Arabidopsis thaliana: one gene and its partners. The protein of the gene in region 3 interacts with the protein of the main gene of each other region in a pairwise test. Each region holds a gene or a part of one and is shown on either strand. Other genes may lie near its edges.

Region 1 (4,392 bases), on a different chromosome or scaffold from region 3:
AGCAACGAATTTTCTTTTTCTAGATATGACTTATAAGAGCCAAACCTTTTTATGTTATAGAAATCTTTGTCACTTTGAGATACTTTTATTCAGGATTTAATAAAGAGTGTTGGATAAAGCACGTGGGACCTTTTGCTCTCTCGAGATTGGCTCTTCGAGTCAGGAAAAGTTAAGACTGTGAAGCAAACCCTATATATGATACTGTATACAATATATTTTTTGGATAAAGGATTGTGTAAATTAAATGATCAAACTATATACTTACTATTCTGGCCTTAGTGGTTATAAGATACTAATATTATACTGTAAATGATCAAAACAAGATACTATTGTCAGAATGCGAAAAAATAAAGCGAAGTCCAACTTAATAGTTTACGAACTTTTACTTCATATTATGAGTCGAATGAGAGTGAATACTGGAATTGGTGATGATGCAGAAAACCGGATTAGACGAAACAAAGAGAACATAATACAAATCATTGGTATGGAACTGACAAAACGTACGAAACAATCGATGTTAAATGGTTAGAATAAAATTTGGATGATAACCATAATAACTGCAGTGCATGTATAATCATTAAATTTTAGCTATTTTTAATACTTGGAATAATAGATGTTTACTATTTTTATCATATACCTAAAGAAGTTCTTGTAATTTGTACTTAGTACCTGATTTGTCGTTCTAATCCTAAAAAAAGATTTGGTCCTTTGTAGTTTGCTTCAAAGGCCCCGAATCTGCATTGATCATGGTCTGGCTCGGGGGTGTTAAGCACACTTTTAACTAGTGATTATATGTCTAATTGGGACATCAATATACCTCCATGCACCTAGTAATGTGACCATCCGTATAATATGTGTACTATCTCTTCTTCAGCTAAAGGTTAACGAGCATAATCTGGTTAAGCCCTATGTTTGGTTTGCATTATAACAATCTCTCTGAAATTTTGTAGTATTTTCATCAATTTAAATTAGTATATTTTCGACAATTTGAATTGTTCTTTGAGTCTGATCACAGTCAAGTACACGAACTATATGCTGATCTGATCGAATTCATTCTACTATATACACACACATACACAAACATTTTACAGTACACCACTAATACTATAATCCCAATAACAAGAAAACCTAAAATATAAGTACACATTAACAAAAGAAAACAGTTTGCAAGTTATTAAGTGGTTTTTGGATTTGGTTTATAGTTTTTAGATTTTTGCATTAATTATATATATATATATATATATATATATATATATATATATATATATATATATTTGAAACTAAATATGAAAAAGTTATAGCGTTAAAAAGTGAAAAACCAATGAAACATAGATTTTAGATTTCCTTTAAAAATCTAGATTCCTTATTTTTATAAGGAAAACCATTTCTCCCAATCTTAATTGGCTATAAAGTAGATTTTTGGAAAAAACTTAAGCCATAAACAATTTCAAAAAATCTATAACCATTTCAAAATCTTTAATCCTTTTTTTTTTTTGTCAAAACAAGTCTTTTATCCAAATGAAAAAGCACCCAAGAAAAAAAAAAAAAAAACTATCCAATAATTGAGTCAGCTCTCATAGGCTTAAACAATACTTTAAGGATCAACATTAAATAATTACCACACTTGAGGGGTAAAACTAAAAACGGTAAATAAAACACAGAAAAACGACAACGAGGGGCAAAATCGAAAATAAAGAGAAAATAGTGGGATAATAGAAGAAAGCATCCAATGAGAGTAGTGAAATCAGAGAAAGACCTTTACTCCTTTAGTCCAATACCATCCAATCAATCTTTTTCTTTTTTTTTATAAAAATCTCTCACTGAGTCTTTTTATTTAAATATTATAAAAAGGAGAGAGAAAAAAAGTTTGTTGGAGGATTCGTCTCTCTCTCTCTCTCTTTCTCTTTCTCTCATCTTCTTCTTATCTCCCTCCAAAGACGGCGACTGTATAATCTATCATTTCTTCACAGTAACGCTTTCATCGGAAGATCTCGCCGGAAAAAAACTTCTCTCTGAGATCAGATCTCTTACGATTCTCAGCTCAATCTTATCTTTTCCTTTGTTGTGCTGCTTTTCACTCTCTTCTGCGCGACGAATTTGGCCTTGTTTTTTGTTTGTTTGTCGTATCCGACGCGGAGGTATTGAGAAACCGTGGCTTAAGACGGAGGAAGAAGATGGAAGCTAACGGGATTGAGAACTTGACGAATCCGAATCAGGAAAGAGAGTTTATAAGGAGACATCATAAGCATGAGCTTGTGGATAATCAGTGTAGCTCTACGCTTGTTAAACATATCAACGCTCCTGTTCATATTGTAAGCTTCTCCCTTCTTCTTCTTCCTTCATGCGCTCTGATTTTCTCTGTTTAAGTTAATCGGTTCTTCTTATTGTTGATTCAATCCAGAATTTGAAATCTCTCTCTATTTTCATCGATTGTTGATCTTACTGATGAAGAATCGATTGGTTTCTAATTATTGAAAGCTTACATAGCATTTGTGTAATCCCAATCTGAGTTTGTTTGATCTGGTTTTGCTTTATTGGAAAAAAAAGCTCCCAAAAACGCTTATGGATTAGTTTGAATCTCTCTGGTGAATAGGTGTGGTCACTTGTGAGAAGATTTGATCAGCCACAGAAGTATAAGCCGTTTATCAGTAGATGTGTGGTGAAAGGAAACATGGAGATTGGTACAGTAAGAGAAGTTGATGTGAAATCTGGACTACCAGCAACTAGAAGCACTGAGAGATTGGAGTTACTTGATGACAATGAGCATATTCTCAGTATCAGAATCGTTGGTGGTGATCATAGACTTAAGGTAATCAATGAATCAAAAGGTTCGTTTTCTGTTTACAGTGAATCAAAGACTTATATGTTCTATATTGTTTTTGGATTTAGAACTATTCTTCAATCATCTCTCTTCACCCCGAGACTATAGAAGGAAGAATAGGAACACTTGTGATTGAGTCATTTGTGGTTGATGTACCAGAAGGAAACACAAAGGATGAGACTTGTTACTTTGTTGAAGCTTTAATCAAATGCAATCTTAAATCTTTAGCTGATATCTCTGAACGTCTTGCGGTTCAAGACACGACAGAATCGAGAGTCTAAAGATCAAAGGAGTAAGAAACTATTGAATCAGAGAGATTTTGGTTGCCATGGATGAAGCTCTCAAAGGGAAAAAGAGAGAGTGGGTGAGTTTCTTTGAGGATGGACAAGGCAAAAAAAGTATCATCATTTATCCAGTTACATAATAAGTTTCTCATTTGCTATTTTTGGGGTCATTTCACTTTCAAACCCTCTTTTTAATTTCATGTGTCTAATTTAATGAATGTGTTTTTGGTTTCTTCTCTATAGAACCAAAATATGATTTTGGAGTTTAGCTTTAGCAACTTGCAGGAATCTTTTTACAATTTGCAGAGAAGACATGTTAAAAGTGTGTGTGATCATGGGGTTCCACTCTCTTCTTCCTTTTTTAACACTTTTAGTTGCACCCATAAAGGCCACACACCGTCTTTCTTATATTTATTTTTTCTACTTTTAAAGATGAACCAATAGGGTTTGTGAGATGTGAAAAATCTCCACAAAGGACCATTAAGGAAAGAGATCTTTGTTGTTGTTTATAGATTTTGTCTTGACTTGTGATTGGGGAAACACACTTTAGCTCCATTAGCTGTAAAAAGTTTTGTATACTATTTTTACAATGCCAAAGTGTTTCTGTTTCTTTTTTCCTAAATTACAGTAGTGGATAAATATTCGAATCGGTCACATTGACAGGTGGTATCATTAGAATTGCTTCTATATGTTTTCTTTCAATTTTGTTCCAAACAATACATGTAATTTCATCAGAGGACCTTGTAAGCTGCAATAAGATTCATTGGCTTTCAAAATCACATCAGAGAATAAAGACAACAATTATTACTTTCTTTTCAATGTTGTTTTACATTTTTCTTCATAGAATTGAACAGAATGTCAAAAAGGGCAAAAGGTTCAAGGTCGAAGCGAAAACTAATGAGCTAATGAAATAAAAACTACAATAATTTTGTAACATGAGATCAATAATTTCATATGTTTTTCTTTTGGTTGTTGTTGTAGAAGCTATGGGAGATTTACTCTGTACAAAGCTTTGAATCTCCCTTTTTCACCCAAAGAAGTGTGTTTATGGTAATGAATGATGTGATTAGGCCAATACCAAGTCTCCTTCTTCTTGTTGTTGCTCTTCAAATTTCTCGCCTTCCTGCTTTGGAAGGAGAATACGCTTTATGTCCTCTGCGGTTAGCGTTTCATACTCTAGAAGTGCGTTTGCTAACGTGTGTAGCTGCTTCTCATGCTGGGGAAACACACACACACACACACACACACACACACACAAAATCGAAGTGAGATTAAACAATTTTGATC
Region 2 (4,254 bases), about 17 Mb from region 3:
AAAAAAGTGCAAACGTACCGTCAGATAGTTGACACTTGGAAAAGAGTAGCCCACGTGTTGGGAGTGGCACATTTTAGCCTGAGACAATGATTTTGCTAACCCACGCCACTCTTACTTTTCAACTTTATTTTTTAATTATTTATTTATTTAGTTCCTTTTCCTTCTTTTGGTTTCGTTTGGTCCCACGCTCTAAGCCAATACGAGGATTCCAGACGAAATCTTTGTTGTGAAGACTAAAACACGTGGCATTAAGTTATTGGAGATATCTAGATTGTCTTAAAAGCCTTGACCACGTCATCATTCTGTATCTGACCACTCCAAACTTATACAGTATAAAGTACAAACTGGTCAAATCGTAAAATGTGTTTTTATCTCCGTAGTTCAACCTGAATGTTTCAGTTTCTATTTTGAGAATCTAGAAACATTATAAAGACCAACGTTATTAAAAAATAAACAGTTGAGGACCTACGGTATTGATTATGGATCACCTAATTAGCTAATCTAACACTTAAAATGCATTAGTTAAGAAAGTGCCCACCACCTAAATCATATGATCAATGCCCTTCACTAACTCCCATAATTAATTATGATTACTAGAAGCTTTAGTTTTTACTATAATGTTTTTCTTTTTGTCACATTTGAGTCAAAACAACACATCTCACTCTAATCATCTGTGTTTTGCTTTTGATGGAAGCAACAACACCCATCAATGATCAAACCAAGAATAAAAAAAAACAGGAATCGAAATGTGCAAAACATGTTTTCAAAGGTTGGGTATTTTTTTAGCTTACTCTGTTTTTCTAATGGAAGCTTGATGTGTTTGTATGAACCTAAACTTTCTCCTCGGCGTGACCAACTGTTTCTCATCTTTTCGGTTAAGAGCATTACCCATTGAGACGTTACGTTTCAGCATTGGCTCAGGGAGATCGATCAGTGGCTCGTGCTGATTGATATGGCTCAAGAAAGAGCGCTGAGGAAAGCTTTCTCTTTTCATCGAGCGTTTTGCTCCAACAGCTTTCTGGTCTTTCCATGACTCTATGTTCCACTGCCGAAATGCCTCTTCTGCTTCAAGTTGCTTCACACTAGCGATTTCTACCCGGTTTAACGCAACTTCCAAGGCTTGTTTACTTTGTTTAACTTCTTCGTTAGCTTCCTCCAGCTTCCTCAAGATCTCTATTCTTGAGACATTGGTGGATAATTCTTTGTTCATCTGTGCTTTAAGTGTTAATGGAAAACATGGTGTCTTAGGGAAGCAGAGAGCGTCTTGGTTTCTTCTGCTGGATAATATGGTCATTTCAGCAAGCGCAAGTGCTTCCGCTGCTCTTGCTGCCTCTTCCATTTTTCTTGCAGCAACCAATCTCATATCTGCAGTTCTCGGGCAGGTTTTGCTCTGTTTATGGAAAGCTGTATCATAGGTTTCAACTACCATCTTAATCTGTTCACATTGTGGATTCACTGGTAAATTCTCGGTATTGAATCTCTCTACTTGATCAGGACCTGCTGGTTTAAACTTCAAACTGTTAAGTTCCTCCGCTAGAGACGCTACTCCAAGGACATCTTTCTCTTCCTTCGTTTTCATATTCAGAGATTCAGCATAAGAGTGGATCAACGCAAGATCATCCATGGTTTTACAAAGATTCATACCAGCTTGCTTCATTTCCATGGTCATCAGATCCGGAGACTTCAGGGGATTACGATGGCAGTGCTCATCGACCATCTCTTTGGAGTGTGAACGCAAATGTTGAGGGGTCTCCTTGCATCTCAGTGCTTGCTGCTGAAGCTGCCACTTCAAATCTTCAAAAATCCTTTTGGTTGATCCAAGAGCTTCAAGAAGATCCAGAGTCTCTAACTCTTTCATAATCAGATCCTTCTCAAGCTCCACTGTCTGTTCTTCCATTCTCTTTATGTCAAATTCTCCCACACAGTCCTGAAGAATGACAAACCAAAAAAACATAAAACAAATCATGCTATATAATACCAAAAAAAAATCTTACATAACATCTTGCTAGTTCCAGAATCAATTGCCGCAAATGCAAACATCAAATTAGCTATCACTTATTACAAAATATCTACTCAGTAACCAAATCGAATCAGCTATCAGTTATTCAGTTTGTTAGCATACTTAACAGTTAGAGAACATACATTTCAAACTTTCAGTGACATTAATGCTCAAACTTTAAATGAACAGACTTTGTAAATCGGAAACTAGAAGAGAACTCACGTAATTGTCTTCAAGATTGAAGGGAACCCAGAACCCACGACCACCATATAACTGTGGAGAAATGTCGATTTCAGCTCTCAAGCATCCTCTCCTTGTATTCTCCGGGTTGAAATTCTCGGACCCGGTTCCGGTTCTCACTTCCCGGATTACGGGTGTACCGGGAATCGTCTCCGCCGCAGGGCTCTGTTGCCTCTCCGCCATTTCCGTTAGCTCGAGAACGAATTGGTTTGTACAAGTGAAAGGGAAAGATAATGAAAGAGTGATCTATTTACAGTAATCATAGTTACTGATCAGAAGCAAACAAGATTGAGAGCTTCTCTATGATTGTGTTTTTCTCGGTAATGAAAGTCACTCACGAGAGAGACTCGAAGAACAAGAATGCAGGCTTTGATGATGCTACTACTAATGGCTGTGGCGACGTGGCTTCTATTGATTGGTTATCTGATTAATTAATAAATGAAAATTTTGGGCCGTTGATTAAGGAAGCGATATTGGGCCGTTGGTACGAAGTTCAAGTTCGTCTATATTGGGCTTTTTTGTGAAGGAAATTCTTACGTATGTGTTGTTTGTTTCTGTTCAAATACGAATATCCGAAAATTGTTATAATTTTCCCGTGCGATATTAGTGTATAGTAAATGTATGAGTGAAATAAATAGGTGGAGCTTTCCCTTATAGTTTTCTAACCAATTTGTGTGGCCATCACATTAAAGCAAAATCCGAGTAGGAGAAAACGGACCACGTACGAATACGATTGGAAACGACCATTAAATTATACGACCTCCCTCACTCAACCGTCCAAATTCATCACCGTCGTCTTTCGATCTCTCACGTTTCTATTTATTTCTCCGCATACGTTTCTTCCAACTAATTAGAACCGACAAATATATATATCTTTTCTAATTACTATTGTTGGGAGTTACCAGTTAGCACTTGACATTGGTACGTATTCAGATGGTTTGGTCTGACACTCTGAGTAGTTCCCTATTATATCCTATCTAAATTATCATTTCATTAAATGTAAACCATTATATCTTTTGGATGAACATGCCCCAAACTTTTGGTCAGTAGTTTCAAATTACGACAAACAAGGTTAGTAGTCTTGATATATATTAAAACGTGTGGATTTGTTGGTCAATAATTATTTCCTTAATTATAAGAACACCAAATAAAAAGGTTTATAGAGTGGAATCCCACAAAAGGTAACATATTAAATACTCTAAGCAATGCTTACTACAGTAACTGTTTACCAATAATGTGATCCTCACCTCACGACTCTCTTATTATTAATGAAAACGCATTAAGTAATGCATACAGTAAGATAGCCACCTTTCATTTATTATCTAACCAATTTTTTCCCCTATGTATGATCTTCCATATACTTGTAATATGCTCATCCATATGAATTTTTCCTAAAGAAAATAAAAAAGCAGAATAAATATCCACGATTATATACAACCGTGCAAAGAAGATTCTTTTGTTTCATCGGCAAACTTGTTTTACTCGCAATACATATTACTCTTTGTCACCTCTAAAGAAGCTTCGAAACTAGCACTTGTTGTTTCAATTTTCGTACATCAATTCTCATCAAAAGCCGACTCAAACATAAACCGAGAGTTTATAAAAAACAGATGTCAGAAAGACTAGAAGATGACTTTGCAATCGATGAAGAGAGATCCTCCTACTATGGCGGAGCCTCCATACCATTCATATGGGAGTCAAGGCCAGGAACACCCAAAAACCACCTCTGCTCCGATTCCTCTCTTCCTCTGCCTCTCACACCGCCGCCCTCATACTACTCCTCCGGGATTTTGTCGACACCAAGGACGCAAAGCAAGGTGAGATCAAAACTAAGTAAGTTTCTGTCCTTCTCCATGTTCAGTGATCTCAGGAGGAGCAATCACGGTAGCAAGAAGACGGCAAGCTCATCGTTTTCTTGGTCTTCTACGTCATCTTCATCTTCCTTTTCCTCCTCGCCACCACATTCTTTGAAAAAACGTATGAGTCACGACAAAAAATCGCCACTTCTGTACGCT
Region 3 (4,201 bases):
AACGTATGATTAATACCTAACAAACATTAATGTGAAGGGTTTATAAAAACATGATTGAATAGAATAAGATTTTATTATCTGGTCATTGTGGCAACTGGCAAGTGGCTAGTAATGGACGGTTAAAAGTATGTATTATTTTTTGTTCAAGTTGATATTAATTTATTTATAAAAGAATGTGAAGATCATATTCCTTTTTCTTACCCTCCTAGTTGATATTTTCTAGTCAATTTAATCAAAATCTGTTTAATTGATTATTGATTCCGACCTTAACTGACATTAAGCATTCGACAATGTTGCCAGACAAGTCTCTTAACTTAACTATCTTCATTAGTATTAAAAGAATTAATAAATCATTGTACTTTCTAGTTCTTATATTGATTGTCCAGATTAGTCTCTTCCACCAAGATATATATATATTTTTGTTGATTTATGTTTCTAATATTATCCTTGAATCTTTTAATTACAATTATGTGCTAAAATGCCGCGGTCTACGACACGCGAGTCTCCCATACGACCCCATACCAATAAAATAAATAAAATCTTCTTAAGATAGGGGAAGATTAGTAAGTAACCGGTTTGGATTCAAATCATCGTCGAGACTCATACTAAACCAGTTCGGATCGAATAACATTAACCGAAGTTTTAAAATGGTAAATACGCATAATCTGTTCTTTCATTTTAACATTTTTCCCCTCTGAATTAGATTATTACATTTCCAACGACCATACTAAAAGAATACATGTATAATATTACCTGAATAGAAAAATAAGAAAAATACTCAAACTATTTAATCAGCTCTTTTTCTTCCCCAGCCTGAATTAAGAGCTAACTAAAATAGAAAAGAAAAAACACCTTAAAATGAGAAAAACTAAAATAGAAAAATAAAAAGAATACAATTACAATTAGGCTATGTAACAATTATTCTAATACTACTACTAATTATAACACTAATTATTAAGACGACGCTTGATTATTCCTCCTCTTCCTCAAGTCAACCACAACGACGCTCACGTTATCGGAGCTCTGTCTTGCTAGAGCCAACTTTGTTAAGAGCAACGCCGCATCGGAGCACGCATTGTGCGCCGCATCTGAGTCGTCACCCGCACCAGCACCTCGAAGGCACATGCGAGCCACGCCACACGCCGTCTCGTTTGGTACAACATCCCATAGTCCATCACTCGCCAAGATCAAACACTCATCCTCATCAGTTCGATCCGTCACTGTTACCTCCGGATCCGGAATCACATACGGTTTCAAGTAATTATCACCTATACAAACAAAAACAATAATCATCAGATTAAATTCAAACGTGTAATTCAAAATAGCCTAAAAAGTCAAATCACAAGAGAGATTCACTCACCAATTGCTCTAGACATGGCAAGAACTCCAAGAACCCTAGCTCCATCCCAATATATAACTCGCCCACCAGCTTGTTGGATCCGAATCAATTCATCGGGTCGATCCGGCTGTTCATCACAAAACAAAAACTCTTAGAACCATGCCATCTTGATTCATACTAACCAATTCGTAATTCTATATAAGACATAATTTTAACTACCTTGTGATCTACGGAGAGAGGAATGGCTACACCGTTACGACAAAGCACAGCCCGTGAATCACCGCAATTAGAAACAATGATCTTCTCCGGCGTGACAACCGATACAACAGCGGTGGATCCGACGGCGTCACACTGAGGAGACTGCAATTCACATCTACAAGAATTTTTCATACTCCGAGTAGCACCATTAACAACTAAGTTACACTCTCGTTGGCTAACTTCTTTATCCATTTTTTGAAAACTCTTAACCATCGTCTCTGTCCACTCGTCGGAAGCCATAACTTCAACTTCCTTCTTCACTATATCATGCAACCGTTCTCTGCACTTCTCCGCAACCTAAAATCAACCAAACAAAACCCTAATTAGTAACTAATCACAAACAAAAGAAAAAAATATTACTAAACAGAGGAAATTAACGTACATGAGAGCAGCCATGGCCGTCAAAGACACCGTAGAAATGATGATTCTCAGAGTTCCGTTGAAGAAACGAAGGATGAATCGAGACAGCGTCTTCCATGTCTCGTCTTCTACCACAAACCGACGTCGTACCGATCTTAGGTACATCGGAAAAGAAACTCTCTGCTTCCGTAACAGAATTTGAATTCGTAACCGCTGATCTAGCCTTCTTATTCTCACTCCTCACATTCGAATCCAGATCTAGATTTCCCGGTAACGTCGAGAGCACTACTGTCTCACGCTTCTGCCGTTTACGGCAGTTTTCAAGCGGAGGAGCAACGGCGGAGTCAGCAACAATTTTGATCGACGGAAGTAGATCTAACCTCCGTCTAAGAGAAGCTCGAGAAGTTGAATCAACCGGTGCCGCCGGTTCAGTCTCTCCAACAACACCGCAACAAATCCCAGCCATTTGATCTCTAACAAAACTTCTCCAATTTACAGAGCAAACCAAAAACAAACAATCTCCGATTATGAGTCTTCTTCAACAATAGAGAGAGAGAGAGAGAGATATTAGTAGAGAGAGATTTTGTTGAGCGTTAGGAAATGCAATGTGATTTTAAAAAGAAAAGGTTTGATTTAAAAAGAAAAGTTGAAGAAGAACGCAAAAAAAAAAAAGGGTTTGATTTTCGCATGGAAGGGTTACACGTAATTAACGGGCAGGGGGGCATGAATAAGGGGAAGTTGCTGACCGTCAGCATCAACGGGCAGGATCCGACACGTACCGTTTGGTGTGACGTTCCATTTCCTGGTACCTAGATACAATCTAAACCGTCCATTCTTTCTTTTTTCCTAGATCTATACACGTGCCCTTTCTTTCTTTTGGATACGCCGTTAACGTGGCCCAATCACAGTTCGACACACCTTAACGGTAACGACCGGCCTTTCTTGACACGCATGTGGTCCACTCTTTCGTTTTGTTCTTTTTTTCTTTTATTTTGTTTCATTTAAATACGCTTAATACAGTATTATGCTGTTAATTAAGATTTAAATAAGTCAGAGGTCAAAATAATGGCCATGGGAGAGAGACAATCTTGTTATAAAATACTGGTTTTAATTATTTTGTCAACTTTTTTATAAATCAGAATAATCACTATGAGATTAATGTAATCGATAAAATCTCTGATAGTAGAAAATTATACAGTATGAGAAAATGTAAACCCCTTCTTTTTCTAGTTATGGAATCCTGAATGGTGAATACTCTGATAGTCTGATTGGTAATGCCAAACAGAATGATAGGTCAGCCCCACTACCCTTAAAACATATAAGAAAAATCTAGTAATATATACGATATGGTTCATATCATTTCACAAACCTAAGCAACATCAATAATACATTTGAATGTTTCCTGTGTTATTTTAAATATTGAACAAACCCGCTTCAATTTGTACAAAAGCGATGCCTCTGAACGTACTATCAAGTATAAATTTGCTTCTAAAATAACGCATCGTGAATCCGTTCCGTGATTACATATTAATCGAGGATATAATTGACATCCAAACTAAAGAAAATTTGCTTCAGAAATAACAATTTTGATCCTATTTGTACAAGAAATAACAAATATATATATCGTAAAAGGTTGATTGTATTGAATTGCCAAAGAGACTATTTGTACAAGAGATGTTGCCTAAAAGAAGATAGAAACGTATCTAACTGAATCTAGGAGAAGAGAAGATTAACATATATTCTAACTCTGATATTATTTCACACATGCAATTTGAAATGTTTAAACAATAAGAGTATATTTATGCTTGAAATTCTGAAATGCACATAAACGAAAATAAATTGGAAAATAGTTACGTGTATCTGATGAGTTCAAACCTCAGCATCAAACACTTCTTTTTTGGTTTTGAATAATTAAAGGTGGGCATTTGGGTTAAGTTCGGGTAAAACCCGATTAGATATGATTTTTTTGGATATAAAAGTTTAAGATTCAATGGGATAAATCCAAAATATCGGTTTGGTTTAAGTTTGTATCCAATCGGTTTTTAATCGGTTTGGATATAAATTTTCAGGGTCCTTTTAGAACCGATATCCGAATTTTTGAGTAAATACCTGAATTTTTGGATAAAATTTTAGATTTCGAATAAATTTAGATTTTCGAATAAAATACCGGTATTTTCGGATTCGACTTAGATTTTTTGGATTAAAAAATTTAGGATCCAATATAGTAAATCTTCGGGTTCAAGT

The links. The genes of interacting proteins can lie anywhere in the genome.
Region 1: the proteins of PP2CA (region 3) and RCAR3 interact in a two-hybrid assay, tested with the Arabidopsis thaliana proteins (3 studies listed by BioGRID).
Region 2: the proteins of PP2CA (region 3) and AT3G56270 interact in binary tests that used the Arabidopsis thaliana proteins (3 or more experiments, as listed by UniProt).

The regions. Positions count from the first base shown.
Region 1 is NC_003076.8:21,558,852-21,563,243, forward strand, and holds RCAR3 (regulatory components of ABA receptor 3), read left to right. Parts: upstream 1-1,749; 5' UTR 1,750-2,174; coding exon 2,175-2,312; intron 2,313-2,593; coding exon 2,594-2,809; coding exon of another isoform or gene 2,810-2,889; coding exon 2,890-3,102; 3' UTR 3,103-3,858; downstream 3,859-4,392. Other genes in the region: FTSH11 (FTSH protease 11), read right to left, coding at 4,172-4,321. UniProt on the Arabidopsis thaliana protein: Receptor for abscisic acid (ABA) required for ABA-mediated responses such as stomatal closure and germination inhibition.
Region 2 is NC_003074.8:20,868,388-20,872,641, reverse strand, and holds AT3G56270 (WEB family protein (DUF827)), read right to left. Parts: upstream 2,643-4,254; 5' UTR 2,423-2,642; coding exon 2,222-2,422; intron 1,928-2,221; coding exon 788-1,927; 3' UTR 535-787; downstream 1-534. Other genes in the region: AT3G56260 (uncharacterized protein), read left to right, coding at 3,850-4,254.
Region 3 is NC_003074.8:3,583,227-3,587,427, forward strand, and holds PP2CA (protein phosphatase 2CA), read right to left. Parts: upstream 2,625-4,201; 5' UTR 2,424-2,624; coding exon 1,980-2,423; intron 1,895-1,979; coding exon 1,559-1,894; intron 1,467-1,558; coding exon 1,361-1,466; intron 1,269-1,360; coding exon 955-1,268; 3' UTR 556-954; downstream 1-555. UniProt on the Arabidopsis thaliana protein: Major negative regulator of abscisic acid (ABA) responses during seed germination and cold acclimation. Confers insensitivity to ABA.